Linked DNA regions of Lonchura striata. The protein of the gene in region 1 purifies or fractionates together with the protein of each later gene. This does not show direct contact. Links are inferred from orthologs where the notes say so. Each region holds a gene or a part of one and is shown on either strand. Other genes may lie near its edges.

The links. Proteins that work in one complex are often made in the same cells at the same time.
Region 2: the proteins of DNAJC7 (region 1) and VPS13C purify together in Homo sapiens (co-immunoprecipitation; 4 studies listed by BioGRID and IntAct, counting the BioPlex papers as one, with this or other methods). This does not show direct contact. The link is inferred for Lonchura striata from reciprocal best matches to the Homo sapiens genes DNAJC7 and VPS13C.

What each region holds. Positions count from the first base shown.
Region 1 is NC_134627.1:6,513,668-6,520,939, forward strand, and holds the start of DNAJC7 (dnaJ homolog subfamily C member 7), read left to right. Parts: upstream 1-4,264; 5' UTR 4,265-4,300; coding exon 4,301-4,392; intron 4,393-7,272. Other genes in the region: NKIRAS2 (NF-kappa-B inhibitor-interacting Ras-like protein 2), read right to left, coding at 2,884-3,123, 3,505-3,746, 3,881-3,974. UniProt on the Homo sapiens protein: Acts as a co-chaperone regulating the molecular chaperones HSP70 and HSP90 in folding of steroid receptors, such as the glucocorticoid receptor and the progesterone receptor.
Region 2 is NC_134613.1:8,225,566-8,232,968, forward strand, and holds the start of VPS13C (intermembrane lipid transfer protein VPS13C), read left to right. Parts: upstream 1-4,288; 5' UTR 4,289-4,388; coding exon 4,389-4,488; intron 4,489-5,790; coding exon 5,791-5,834; intron 5,835-6,850; coding exon 6,851-6,893; intron 6,894-7,403. UniProt on the Homo sapiens protein: Mediates the transfer of lipids between membranes at organelle contact sites. Necessary for proper mitochondrial function and maintenance of mitochondrial transmembrane potential.

The DNA of each region.
Region 1 (7,272 bases):
GAGGAGGTGACCCTGTGCTTGGCACCTGTCCTTGTCGCTGTCCCACCGCAGGGACAGCCCTGCCCCTACCTCCCGGGAGATGCTGTGAGGCTGAGTGAATGTCCCTAAAGCACTTTCAGTTCTCCAGTGAAAGGCAATGCTGCTGCTCACCTGCCGTGCACAGCCCTCCAATCCCATCCCAGTTAGGAGCTTCCAGGAAGTTACTGATGATTCCCGAAATCAAAGGTGTCTTCAGCAGCCTGGACAATCAGGTGGCAGGTGCACCCATAGCCTGCGGAGTGCCAGGCTCTGGAGGGACCCCAAGGCCATAGCTCTGCATTTCACTGTGCTCAGACAGCCCGACCATGACCTGTCTGGGACTGTCACCGCGGCGCTCTGGGTGCCCAGCACGCTGCTGTACATAGAGAGAGTTGCATCCCAAATGGACCTTTCGCTGGAGGAACACCCCACCCCGATCTATGCAACCCCACAGGGGGCAGCTCACCCGCCGCATTGGCCGCCTGCGATTCCCTTTGGTGCTGATGCATCCCTGCAGCCAGAGCAGTGGTGGCAGCAGAAGAACCAACATGACGCTGAGCTCTGTCCCATCCCTGGCCCAGGGTTCAGACCCTGGTTCAGACCTCTGCTGTGACTCCCATTCCCTCCCAGCCCTCGGGAGGAGGCGGGTTGGTGTGTGCACCTGGGAATCCACACGCACAAGCACACATATCTGACGTCTTGGCCATAAGCAGCGCCTGGATTTCACAAGGATTTTGCCCAGCGTGCTCCACTGATGCTCAGGATGGGTCCTGGCACGGGGAGCTGAACAGGAAGTGGCCAATGGGCAACTCAGATGGCTGAAACATATCTGCTTCCCAGGCCTGGAGCCTGAAACAGATCTGCTTGCCAGGCCTGGAGCCTTGGCAAGGGCAGGAAAGCTGCAGGAAGGAGCACACACACACCTGCAGGGTAGCACCTACTGTGGAGCCACCACTGTACTCCTGCCACAGAGACAGGAGAGTGAGGGAGCCCCTGGGTATGAATTCAGCTGCTCAGGGCATCCCTTGCTCAGGGAAGGAGGAGAGTAGAGAGAGGGCACCAAGAGAAGACTGAGCAGCTGTACATGCAGACAATGGAAAGGTCTTGCAGCAGTGGTGGGATATGTGGCTTGGAGCGCAGCTGAGGGAAACAAGGCTCCCAGCAGGGAGGCCAGGGATAGGGAGATGGTCCCACAGCCCAGGGGACACGTAAGGACCCCACATCCCAGGGGACAGGAGCCTGTGCTGGCTGGACAGGAGGGACGCTGTCCCCGTTCCCCAGTGCCAAGCAGCCCGTGGCCGGGGTGCCCCCAGCCATTCCTGCCCGTCTCACTGTGCCCTTCCCAGCCCCTGGGGTCACCCCCAGTCCAGCCATCGCAGCAGGACAGTGGGTCCCCTCCTGTGCCATGAGCCCCTGGTGTTGTGCCCAGCCCCTCAGAAGCTTGGGGAGCCTGGAGCAGCTGGGCTCCAGCTTGCAGAGCCGCGTGGCACCAGTGGGCCTGTTCCCCTCCATTGTTCCAAAAAGCCTGTGCTGGAGCCACGGCTGCTCCTTGCCCCTCACCAGTTCTTGGCACTTTAACCCTGTGAAAGCCATTCCTTCTAGTAACAATAATACTGCAATGAGCTGCGTAAGAAACCCCCGTTATGGCATCCCCCCAAATCCCCTCCTGCTCTCCAAAGCATTTACTGCCTTTGACTTAGCACATGCTGTACTAGGAGTAGGGATAGTCCATAGCGCTCGGTAATGTGTGCCCTCTGTAAATAACCTTGGAGTGATGTGAAATTTGATTCAAAACACCAGAAAAAAAAAAAACAAAACAAGCCCAAAATGGAATATCCAGACTCTAGGGACTTGGCCAGTACCCTCCTGTAATGTTCATTGTATATTTTTTTGATGTACTATAACTGTTGGGAAAAAAAAAAAAAGGAAAATATTTTGATAATCGAATCTCATCGCTTTATTGTGTTACTCAGTAAATAAAAGAACAAGTATAAACACACTGGGGCTTTTCATCAGTTCTTTTCCTACATCCAGACTACCTGAAGGGAACAAGCGTTGCTGGGTAGGGCTGGGACACCTGTGCCTTGTCTTATGGTGGTTCTGAGAGGAGGCAGCATTGTGACAGGTGGGCAGTGAGAGCTGCCATAGCCCAAAGCATCTGGAGTGTGCAGCCTAAGTACAGTCCCAGCTCCTCCAAGGATCTAGGTATGCAGGTAAAGCACAACCCCATCTCCTCCAAGCTCATGGCCGAGTCTGCACTCAGGAAAAGGGCTGGAATGGTGGATTTGGGCACCCTGCCCTCAGGAACAGCACCTGCCCTGCTCTAGGCATTCCCTGGTGCAGCATGTCGGGATATTCCAGTGCATAAAGGAGCAGTGGAAACTGCCAGGGTAAGGGACAAGCTGCCAGGGAGCAGCACAGAGCCAGCTGGGGCAGGGCAAGGAGAGCTGCTTGGCTGGAGGCAGGGTCAGCAAACAGGCTCTGCCCACACGTTATCAGGAAATAGAAAAAGAGGGAGTTGTTCCCTCCAGATGTAGAGCTGACGCCCACGTTCCAGCCAGCCTGTGCTGTGCCTCTGTTCCACTCTCCCAGCCTGTACCTGAGAGCAGAGGGGGTCACTGAGTGAATCCTGACCTTCCTGTAGCACCTCTGACAGCTGCAGGGGCTGGGCAGGGAGAGGAGTGGCTCCTGTCCCACTGCCTCTCTCATCTGCCAGGACCATCCCTAGCCCTGGGATGATTGTTCCTCCTGCCACCTGCTTCCCACAGGCTCTGTGACACAGACAGGACTCAGCAGGAGGTGGGTGCAAGGAAAGCAGGAAGGTGAGGAAGAGGAGGTGGCAATAGAAGGGAAGGGGAAGCAGGCTCATCCATCCATGGATCCACTGCCCTTGTTCTTGCGGCTCAGGGGAAAGGCAGACTTGCTCTGTGGCTGTGTCATCTTGCTGGCCAGGTAGATGAAGGGCTCGATCAGCGTGCGCCGGTCAGCCACGGACACCTCCCACAGCTTCACCTTCTCGCCCTTGGCCCAGTGCTGGGCTGCATCATGGTCCACCCGGCGCTGCTCCTGCAGGTCACACTTGTTGCCCAAAACCACAATGGTGACCTGTTCCAAAAGGTTGAGAAGGGCCCCTGACGACCAAACACAGCTGCAGGGTTGGCTCTGCCATGGAGACCCTCAGTGGTGGGCCTGGCCCTGCCACGGAGACCCTCAGTGATGGGCCTGGCCCTGTCCATGTCAAGGCCTTTTGAAATCCAATGATCTCAGTGCTCCCTTCCCCACCTGCTAGGGTCTGCGTGTCCCAAACCAGCCCCAGAGTGGAAGGAACTTCTGAGCACCTGTAAACTCAGAGAGCATCCCAGAGAACAGCCTGTTACTCCTGTGAGTCTCACAGATCAGGGACCCATCAGTACCTTGTGACAGGCTGGAGAAACCAAAGGTGAGAACCTGCCCCACGGCAGCAGATCCTCCTGCGGGGGGACTCACCTCCTTCTTGTCCTTGGACTTGTCGATCTCCTTCTTGAGCAACTCGACACGCTTGAAGGACTCCTTGTTGTCGGTGCTGTAGACCAGCACGTATCCGTCGGTGCAGGAGAAGCAGTGCTTGGGCAGCTCCAGCCCGTCCCGCAGCCCCCGCGTGTCGTAGAAGCGCACCTGCTCCCGCACGCCGCGGTCCGTCTCGATGGAGCCCACGTAAATGTCCTCCTGGGTCTCGATCATCTCCGAGCCTGCCGGGGGCGGGCAGCGGGCGCTGCGAGCGCTGCCGGGGCCCGGCCCCGGCCCAGCGCGGGAGCTGTCCCGGCCGGTGCTCGGGGCGGACAGCCCTGCCCAGGCCCGACCTGCCCGCCGCACCCGCACTCACCGACCACATGGTTCCCGTAGAGCAGCTGCTCCAGGATGGAGGTTTTCCCCACCGAGGCCTGCCCGCACACCACCACCTTGCAGCTCTTGCCCATGCCGCCTCACCGCGGCCGCCGAGCCTCACCGGCGGCGGGAGGCGCGCGGCGGCACCGCAGCGCCCCCTGCGGGCGGGCGGACCGCGGCACGCAGCGCCGCCCTGCCGTGCGGCGGGAGGGGGCGTGGCCGGCGCAAGCTCCGCCCACCGCCCGGTCAAGTTCCGCCCTCCTCCCGGTACCGGCCCCTCCCGATGCCGCCGCCGGGCTCCTCCGCGGGCGCCCCCTGCCGGTCGGGCCCCGGCCCGCCCCACCGGCGGAGGTCCCGCCCGTTCCGGCCCTCGCCCCGCCCCGCCCCGCCCCGGTCCGGCCCAGCCCCGCGCGGTAAGATGGCGGCGGCGGCGGCTGAGGCCGAGTGCGATGTGGTCATGGCGGCGCCCGACGGGCCCGGCGAGACCGACAGCGACGAGGAGGCGCGCAGGTAGAGCGGCGGCCCGGGCGGGGAAAGGGCGGCCCCTGTCCCTGCCGGTGGGCCCGGCGAGGCTGCGGGTGCCGCAGGGCCCGGGGCCGCGGCGCTCGGCAGGGCCCGGAGCTGCGGTCGGTCCCCGCCCGGGCCGGCCCCGCGGGCGGCGTGCTCGGTGCGGGCCGGCCGCGAGCGGCGGCGCCCCGGGGCTCCGCGGCGGGGCCCGGCGGGCGGTGACAGCCACACAGCCACGGGCCGCACGCGGCGGGGCCCGGAGCCGCTGGATTTGGGATGCGGTGCCGCTGTGTCCCGGTGTGCTCCCGCCGCCGCCGTGCGCACCGGGATTAGAGGAGCCGCCCCGGTAGCGGGGTGTCCCAGCAATGCAGCTCACACCCTGTGTCCCGAGGCCGCACACCCTCACCGCTGCCGGGGGAGCGCGTCCTCCCCCTGGCTGGGGAGGGGAGGATTAAACTCGTGGGAAGAGGAAGCTCCAAACTCCTGAACCCTCTGCTGCTTCGTCACCCCATTCCCCTGGTTCTGGTCCCTTTGAGACCTGCCCAGAGCGGGTTCCACTCTGTCCTGCCTTGCTGTGGGAAACGGGAAAGACTCCTTGGGCAGAGCGCTGCTGCGGGAATGCTCCATCATCCCGGAGCTCTCGGTTTGTCCGTGCTGTGCTGGTGCAGCTGGCAGTGGCACCTGAGGCGGGGTAAGATGGGATCCCCACCTTTCCTGCATGTTTTCCCTCCAGGAGTGAGTGAGCTGTGGGAAAATCCTGGCAACTCCACTGGTTTTCCATAGTGGCAGGTGCTGGTTCATAACCCAGGGAGCTGGAAGGAAAGAGCCGTTCCTGGAGGAGCTGAGGCATTTGCTCTGGAGGATGATTCAGTGGAATGAAGAAGAAACAAAACCAAAAGTGGCCTCTGAGGAATGGTGGTTTCAGCCTCCCATTGATGGCTCAAGGGATTTTACGGAATTGAGGCCTGAGGAGCAGCTCCCTGGGGAGATCCTGCTGAGCAGGAAGGGAGGAGCTGCTGAAGAGGCACTTGGGGTTCACAGAGCACCGACATCGCCCAGCCTGTGGGGCTGGGACAGGCTTGTGTGGGCACATCACTCCTGCCCCTTGGGCAAGCGAAGTGAGTAGTTTGAAATGGTGGAAATTCGCAGAGGTAAAACCCTGGCTGAAGGCACAGGTGTCTGCAGGTAGTGACCTCCAGCTCCTTTCTTCATTCCTGAGGCTGTGCTGTGCACCGCTTTCATTAGGCACCTTCACAGCGTTTCCTTTTCGTGTTCTTCTGGGAATGTAACACCTTTCCCGTGCTGAAATGGACCCATATGGGCAGGAGCTGATTCTTTGGTGTTGCTCTGGAGGAGCCAGCCCTGCACAACCTGATTTCTGTGCAGTTCTGTGCATTAACCTCTTCCCTACCCCAGCCCTTCCTGTTTCACTGCAGTAGTTCAATGGCTCTCATGGAAATCAGAGCAATAGCTGCTGCACTGGGGAGTGGAGTTGGAGCTTCAGAAGGTGTCAGGTGTTTGTGAGATATCCCAGGCCAGGTAAGAGCTGGGTGAGCTCCACATGGGACGCATTGATTTGGTGCAGCCTTTGAGGTGTATCTTCACTCACTTCGGTAAAAATCATCAGAAATAAGGGCAGACCTTTTCAGAATCCTTATGATAACTCAGCAATGAGGGTTCCATGTTCTGTTGTTTCCATTTAGGGATTACAGTATGGCAGAATATGGATACTTTGCTCAAGGATTCACCTTGTCCAAATGCACGATTCTGTTCTCTGTGGCTTAATAAAACTGGGAAGTTAGAAAACAAGCAAAAGGGGAGATCTGCATTTCAGAATGGCTGTAACTAACGCCCTGAAGCAGCTGCAGACATGCCAGAGGGCTCCCAGGGTGTCCAGGGCACAGGAATGGAGTGTGGTCACAGGATAATTATTGTCTGCTGCTGCCTCATGGATGGTTGGGGTCCTGGCAGGAAGTGTTGATGTAATTGTGTTAATTTTATCCATTGGTGCACCAGTGCGGAGCAGCTGATGAGCAGGACTGGGCCACCCCTACAAACTCACTTGATTCTTCATTAATTTTAAATGTTTCTCACCCATGGGAGCAGTTTTTCCCTGCTCCCAGCTGCTTTATGAGCTTGGGCCCCTGGAGCTTTGCCAGGGAGAATTTCCTTGTCATCTTCCTGGCAACTCTGGGTTTTGGCTCCTGTGCATCCTCCAGGCTGGATCTTTCTCCTTCTTCAGCACTGGATCATGTGGGAGCTTTCTTTTCTTGAAAAGAAATACCTCCAGCTGTTGGGAAAATACTGTTAAGAGATTGCAGAGCCCCTGCTGCAGGTTTGGGATGTGTTGGTGCCTCTGTGGGGACATTGACATTTCCCACAGCAAAGTGACGAGCAAGGAGTGGCCCACACAGAGTCCTGGAGGTTCTGGGCCTGGCCAGGCTGTGGGTCCCTGGCCAGGTCTGCAGGTGTTGCCTGGAGCTTGTCAGGTGTTGGTGAGCACCAAGAGGCTTCTCCAGTGCATGGGGTGAGGTGCATCTCAGTGAGGCTCCTCCAGAATAATTGTCCTTGCTCGCCAGCTTTGGGGCAGCGCTGGCAGGAGCGGGGTGAATCATCTGAGGGGCACCAGGTCCTTCTGGGATAACTTGGAGAAGGCTCTCCTGTTCCTCTTCTGCCTGTAAATGGGCACTTGGACTTCCCAGGTGATAAACCAGCCCATTTTACTCATCTGGAATTATTTTATGATCTCATGATCATACCAGAAGCAGCAGAAGGTACTCAAGTTGTTGTTTGCTTCCTTGTGCATCTGCAGAGTATTTAAATATCTAACTTAGGCAGTTGCTTTATCTAGTAGGGAAAGGTGATCCATACTAACAGTTTCAA
Region 2 (7,403 bases), on another chromosome or scaffold:
TTTATTGTTGGATCACAGAAAGGACACACAGTGAAACACTATCACAGCTTTTTGCAGATGCCAGTTCTTCTCTGAGAATCGAGACTCTCCAGCTGTTACAAGGGAAAAGGGAAAGCAGATTGCTGTGTTGGCATCTTCTTAGTGCATCAGACATCTTAATATATCTTAAACTGCTGGGTTTACTTACTGCTAATAAGATTAAGTGTTGTAAAAATTTCTAAGAAATGTCTTAATTATTAGCAGTGTTCCAAGTAGTATCAGTTGTTTTAACTATTTTGCTACTCTAATCCATGTAATTTGGGTGTTTATTCTAGTATTTGCCATAACTGTTTAAGCACCTTTTGTTTTCACTTATTGTCTATAAGTGCATTCAGCACTAATGAAATCTCCTGTGTATTACTTAGAAAAAAATGAAAATCAGTGCAAAATGAACTTATTATAAAAATTTAAAATCAAAATATAAATAAGATTAACCCCAGTATCGAATACTACTACTTGTAGAGCATTCTAAACTTTTCTTTACAAAAGACAAATTGGTAAGAAGATGAATATTGATCTTTTCCATTTGTTAGGTCCAAAAATATGTGCTTTAATAATATAGTTACTTCTGAGACTGTAACAATCCAAAATTGTGACAAGGGAAATCCTCAGTAGCTGGAAGGAATGAAACATAATCAGAGTTGACAAGGAACTAGCTGCTCAGAGAGGCTGTGGCATAATTGGGTTTTGGAGATTTTCTGAAGTTGTCCAAACACTTTTGACTTTTGGCAACCTGATCTAACTCATCACGAAGTCCTCTTATCTCTGTAGACTTTGTGATGAGAGTTGATGCAACATTACCTGGCTGATTTCCCAACTGCTAATAGGCATACAGTGTGTTTAGTGAGGTACAGTGGATAAAATTTGCCATCTGTTCACTTGCCAACAGTCAGAGGGTAGGAGCTGAGACTTTATAATATTAATGCAGTAAAACAGGAGATGAAAGCTTGGCTATTGAGCTTTCAACCCATGTACTCACCTCAGATTAGAACTGCTGTGGCTATTATTTGTTTACGTATGCAGGATTGCGTAATAGGCAACTCTAAACAAATACTTGTTGTTGCAGTTATTAATAAAATTTCAGCTCTAACTGATAACTTTTAATGCAGATTTCTTGTCTTTTTTTAGGCTTCATAGTTTTGGTAAAGGTTTCCCTAAGAAGTTTGATCAAATCTTGCCACATAAAATAGCACACCTACAAACAGAAGTGTCACAATCTTGTATTTATATTTTTTTAGTAAATTAGTGCAGTGATGGAATCATCAGATTATCAGATATTTAACAGAGTGCTACAATAATATAAAATGAGCTTTTGATGACTTTTGCCTGAGTAAAAGTAATTATTTAATTCATATTTATCAAACCAATCATTAGGAAAAGGTAAGTAGAGTGCCTGGGTTTTCCCCAGGGAGAATTAACATTATTTGTGTATTCAATGAATGGTGGGCAAATACTTCTGTTTGTCCTGGATTTGTTCTCCTAGATACAGAATTCTTATGACATATAATTTGTGGATGAGGGGGTTTTGGGTTTGTTTCCCTCCCCTGCATCCCATATTGGACTGTTTCTTTTCTTGTTGAGAACACACAAGGAATGGCACCTACCTACAGACAGAACAACATTAATGTAATTTTTGAGTGGTGTCCTGTCTCCAAGAGATTCTCAGGCAGATTAACAAAGGATTGCAGGTAATAGAGGTGCAATACTATGTGCCTTTATTTTCAAGTAATATTGCAGTATTTAAACCACACACATGGTTGATAAAATATCTAATAAAACTGCTCACAGGTTTTCCATTCTTAATTCCATTTATTTTCCTTTTATTTTTAAAAATCTATGTAGGATTTACTGAAATGGGATATCTGACACAAATGTACTGGTTGGTGATCTTTTCCAGGTTAAATCACACTCCTTCAGGACCAATTTTTGATCCACTACATCTCATGCCTACATTTTCTGGAAAACATAGAATTGTTTAGGTTGGAAAGGACCTTTAAGATCCTTAAAGGTGCAGAACTTTTGTTCTGCACTGCCCAAGCCAGCACTAAACCACATCCTTAAGAGCCATATCCACAGGTATTTTTAATACCCCCACTCCTTCCCTGAGCAGCCTATCCCAATGCTTGGTAACCTTTCAGTGAAGAAATTTTTTCTAATATCCAACTTAATCCTGTCCTGGAGCTACTTGAGGCCATTTCCTCAAAACAGATGATTTTATGAATTCATGGAACTCTTTTAAGTTCTTTAGAACAACACTTTGATCAGTCAGGATATTATTTAACTACATAAAAACTACTTTTTGTGGTTTTCAACACCCTTTATAGTTGTGATTAAATTTTCTTTGAGTATGTTTTTTCCTGTGCAGAAATGATGAGCATGATGAAAAATGAAGTAGAAGATGGATATATAATCCTGGCTGTATTGTATAATTGTTACAGAGAAAACTTACTACCATTGATTTGCTCTTAAATTGACATACAGCTGTCCCTGATTAACCAGAACTTTTGCTTAAGCTTTAGTCATTCAGCTGTGGTTTGTATACACAGAAATTAAAATATTTCAAAACTTCATTTTTAAAAATTCCAAATGAAAAATCATTACCTAATAGAATGGCAGCAGGAAGTTTATTCACAATTTCCTGACATGTTTTCTTCCATTGTCTCTTCTCTCTGACGGGAAAAGCCAAGTCTGTACAAAACAATTAAACAAGTAAATTTAACATAAAGGTAGGCATATATATATATATGTAGGTATGTGTATATATATTTAATAATAATGTATGCCCTTTGCTTCTTCACACTTTGTGAAAAGGTGATAAAACCTTTTGTGCTGCTTGCATGCTCTGAACTGCACTATGTGGTTTACTGTGGTTTGATAAACTGAAAATGCATTTGATACATGCATTTTGATGAAGGTGAGCATCCACAATTCAAATAAAGTCAAAAGTGTTCCTAGCAAAGCTCTGTGGATTTACCTTAACTGCAGCAAGAGGGAGTTTGCAAGCCTGAAGCACAGGCTGTAACAAAACCAGAGTGGTAACAATTGCTGATGGACCTTTCCTCTGTCAAACTTAAATATTTTCCTTCAGCTTTGTGGTTTTGTAAAATCAGCTTGCACTAAGATCCACAATAGATTTGAACGCTGTTTAAAGCAATATTTGTCTAACCGTGATTATATTTATGCGGTGTTGATGTATTTTCCCATATTTTTGAGGGTGAATTCTATTGCTAATATTGTTTTCTGCTCTTTGGAATACATTTTTAGACTGAATATGCCATTTTGAGCTATCAAGTGCTGTACTTCCATGAATAATTGAGCTCCTATGGGTTCAGAATGACTTTACAGAACCAGTTTGAGATTAGCACTTCAGAGATTTAAAAATTTGTTCCAGGGCTGACATTGCTACCTGCAGGTTCACCGCACGGAGTAGCATGTTCTTATGTAATTTCTCTGCAGTCCTATTACCTCTAAAACATCTGGGCTTTGGGATTTTTTTCTCATTTGTGTTTACTTCCTCTGTGAGTTTCCTGAACTGCTAGATTTAAAGAGTTTAATTACCAGTTTTAAAATCAGAAATAGTTTTCTAAGACACTGTTAAGCACACGCAGGTCCCGCCAGTCCCAGGTGAACTGAGGTGCACAACTCGCCCTGGGACGGCGCCGGCAGCGGCAGGGCCCAAAGGCGGCGCCGCGGCCCCACACGGCGAACGGGCGGCACCGAGCGGCTCTCGGCGGGACCCGCCTGAGGGGAACCGAGCGGCTCTCGGCGGGACCCGCCTGAGGGGAACCGAGGGCGGCTGCGCCGGCGCCTTCCCCGCGCCCCCGCCAGCCTCCCGTCCCACCCGCACGGCTCCCCGGGCCTGCTGAGGAGCCGAGGCGCGATGCCGGCGCCGGGACGGCGTCCGCGGGTGAGCAGCCGGGGCGCGGTGCCGGTGACAGGACGGTGCCGCGGCCGCTCCTCCCTCACGCGGTCTCTTCGCCCCGCGAAGCGCCGGGGGAGCGGCGGCTGCGGCCGCGGATCCGCGCCGCAAGGGGGCGCCATGCGCGCCGCGCCGACCCCGCCCCGCTTCGCGCGCTCGTTCGGCCCCGCGGCTCCGAGCGCCGGCGGCGGGCTCGGGATCCTGCGCTGCCGCCCGGGGTCTGGCCGCGCCCGGCGCCGCCGCCGTTCCGCCGCTCCGAGTCCCCCCACGCCCCGCACCTCCGCACCCCGGCGGGCGCCGGGCTGCGCCCCGCCCCGTCAGCTGACTGCCGGGGGCGCGCCCGCGCTGGGTCACGCCGCGCTCGCCGCCCCCTCCCCTGCGCTCCGCTCCCCTCCCAGCCGGCGGCCGCGGCTGAGGGGCCGCCTACGCCATGGTGCTGGAATCAGTGGTGGCGGATCTGCTGAACCGCTTCCTGGGCGACTATGTGGAGAACCTGAACAAGTCTCAGCTCAAGCTGGGCATATGGGGGGGTAAGGAGCCCCTTCCCTCTGCTGCTCCGTGTCCGCCGGGCCGCCGGAGTTACCGGGGGCAGGGGGAGCAGGTCTGGCTGGCCGCGGTTACCCTGTGAGGGGTCCGCGGGCCGCGGGACCGCCGGCCCCTCTGAGGGACGAGCGGTGGCTTTGCGGGCCCCCGGGAGCAGGAGGCGAGTTCCGGGGCCGCGGCCCTCCGAGGCGGGCGGGCGGTGCGTGGCCGCACACGTCCCCGCTCCCGTGGGGGACCGTCGGTCCTCGTGTGCCCGGCGTCCCTGGCACCTCTCCCTCGCGTCGGTCTGTGGGGCGGGGGCATGGGCGCACGGCGCTGGCCTCGGAGCGCTTCGAGGGAGGAGACCGCCGACACCGATAAAACCCCTGTTATTTCTCCTATTCCTTGTCTCGGGTGCTGGGTGGAAGCACGATGGTGCTGTTGGAACTGTGGGCGGGCTTATGGCGCAGTGCCCCTGGTGCCGGTGCAGCTGATGGAGTGCTTGGGGAGCCGTGTGTTTCAGTTATCGGTGTAAATAATACGTGTTAAACAGCCGGGGAGTGCAGGTTTGTGGAGTAGCTGTTCCCGCTGAATGTATCAAAACACTTCCGTTCGCTATGCTATAGTCATGCAGAAAAGCAGCCGAAGTACTGTCTAGGAAAGCTGGCTGGTTTAGGTGCCTTCCGTAGGTAGGTCATCACCTTAGTTTTGCTCGTCATGGTTGTACGTGTCTTAGCATTTAAGCAGTATTAATACCTATACTTGAAATGGAATATAGCTCTAAGGAAACTGACATTAAAGTATTAACAGGTATATAGGCTTTCCTCAGGTATAATTCTGTGCCAGTGTTTAATTTAGAAATCCTATGACATTGTCTGCGTCAGGAAAAGTTAATGTGTTTGTGAAAACAGGAATGTGTTTTTGTGGCTCTGTGATTCATGATTTTTCTTTCATGTGAAATCATGAAAAACAAGATGCCATTTTCCAAGTCTACCCTATGTTGATAGAACTGCAATTGTCATTCACACCAAGTGAATAAGACTTCCTATTCTTGTGGGTGTATTTAATAGAGTAGAAACATGTTGATATCTAAGTTGGTGGTGTTTTTATCATCTCTTCCAACTGAAATTTTTTCTATAACCCATGTTTAGTGGCTCTTACAAATTACATGTTTCTTGTGCTATTGTGTAACTGGAATGTTTTCAGGTTTTATTCTTAAGTACTTGGTAGGATTGTGGTTGTCTTCCTTTTTCTAACATAAGTAATACTTGAAGTAATTTTTTCTGTACTTCTCCCTTTTTTCTAAACAGGTAATGTGGCACTTGACAATTTACAGATAAAGGAGAACGCATTAGTAAGTATCCTATCTGGCTGAATAAATTCTCATTTATAACACTAATAAGTTTGTATTTGTTTTATGGGTCTAAAGACTAAGACTTAGGATGAAATGTTGCTCACTGTAGTCTCACAAGAGGATACACTGAGTTCTTTTTTTACTGGTTATAGGAAGTAAGTTCTTGGTTAACTGCTTCTAATTTTGCTCATTTTACTGGAAGAGAAAGAAAAGCTGTGGCTGAAAAACAGAAGTAACTTTCATTAAGTTCCCATACTCTTCTGGAAAAACAAATTACTTGGCTGATTTTCATGTTCCTTAATTTGGATAATGAACATCTGTACTACTGAGGGAATCTTGCTCCAAAATTTAATGGGTTTCAACTTCACTAAAGAGAACTGTTACTTTTCTGTGCACTGGAAACACATTGGATCTTTATATGACCTGATCACTGGCTTCTCTTTGTTATTCTGAAATTTCATATTTTGCTTGTCTATTTCATCCATTCCTGATGGCTTTGTTGTAGTTCTAATCAATTGCTACAAATGTCTTCATGTCTAGTAGACAAGGAAGGAAAGAAGTGTTACTTTGTACACACCTTTCCTTCTAATGGGGGTTGATTCAGATTCCAGCAGTTCTGATGTAGAAAAATGCAAAGTCATGTATGTGACTGACCAGAGCCAAGACCAAATCAAGAACATAAAGTAAGGGATGGTTCTGACAACCTTACAATTGCAATGTGTTAGATTTCCATGCAAAAGTAATTAAAGGGAGGTCAGTATTAAACACCACTTGTAGAGAAGTAGCCTACACTTGCTTGAAAAAGAAGGGATCAAAGGAATATGATATGGTCCAGTTCTTCTTTTTTACTCTAGTTTGCCCATCTGCTGCTGTCTTGTTTTCCTTCTAGGATTTTCCAGTAGAAAAGAAGTAGCTTTTAATTTCTGTATGTAAATACAGTACTTTGCAAATATAATCCAAATTTATCTGATTTTTACTACTTCTTCTGTTTAATACTTTATTTTTGTAATTTACAGAGTGAACTGGATGTACCTTTTAGAGTAAAAGTTGGTCAGATAGGTAAGTTTTAGTTCCAGCACAACTACTGCAATAGAAATTTTAATACATGCTATAAGGTCAGTCTTGCCCCTGAATTTCTTTTATCAAGCTATCAAGCTTTATAAGTGTAATTATACTCACTGTTGAAACTGGCATAGAAATTCAATATGGCTGCCATCGATGTTATCTGGCAAACCCTCTTTGTGTAACTTTACAGATTGATATGAAAAACACATCTGAGAGGTTCTTCCCAAAGACATGAATGATCAAGGGAGCTGTTTAGTGTAGACAGAGTATGCATTGTTCTTTAAAGGACTGATTTAGACTATGAAGAATGAAGTTAAATTCCTGAAACTGACAAAATATGCCAAAGGTTTAGGAACTCTTAGTTTTTGGTTTTTTTTTTTAGTAATTCCTTTCCATGGTAGTCAGCATTGCTTTTTCACATGAAACATTTGTAGGAGATTTACATATGTGTAGTATTTTTTCTTCTACTTCCTGGTAAAATCCTTTTCATCCCAGTGAATTGAA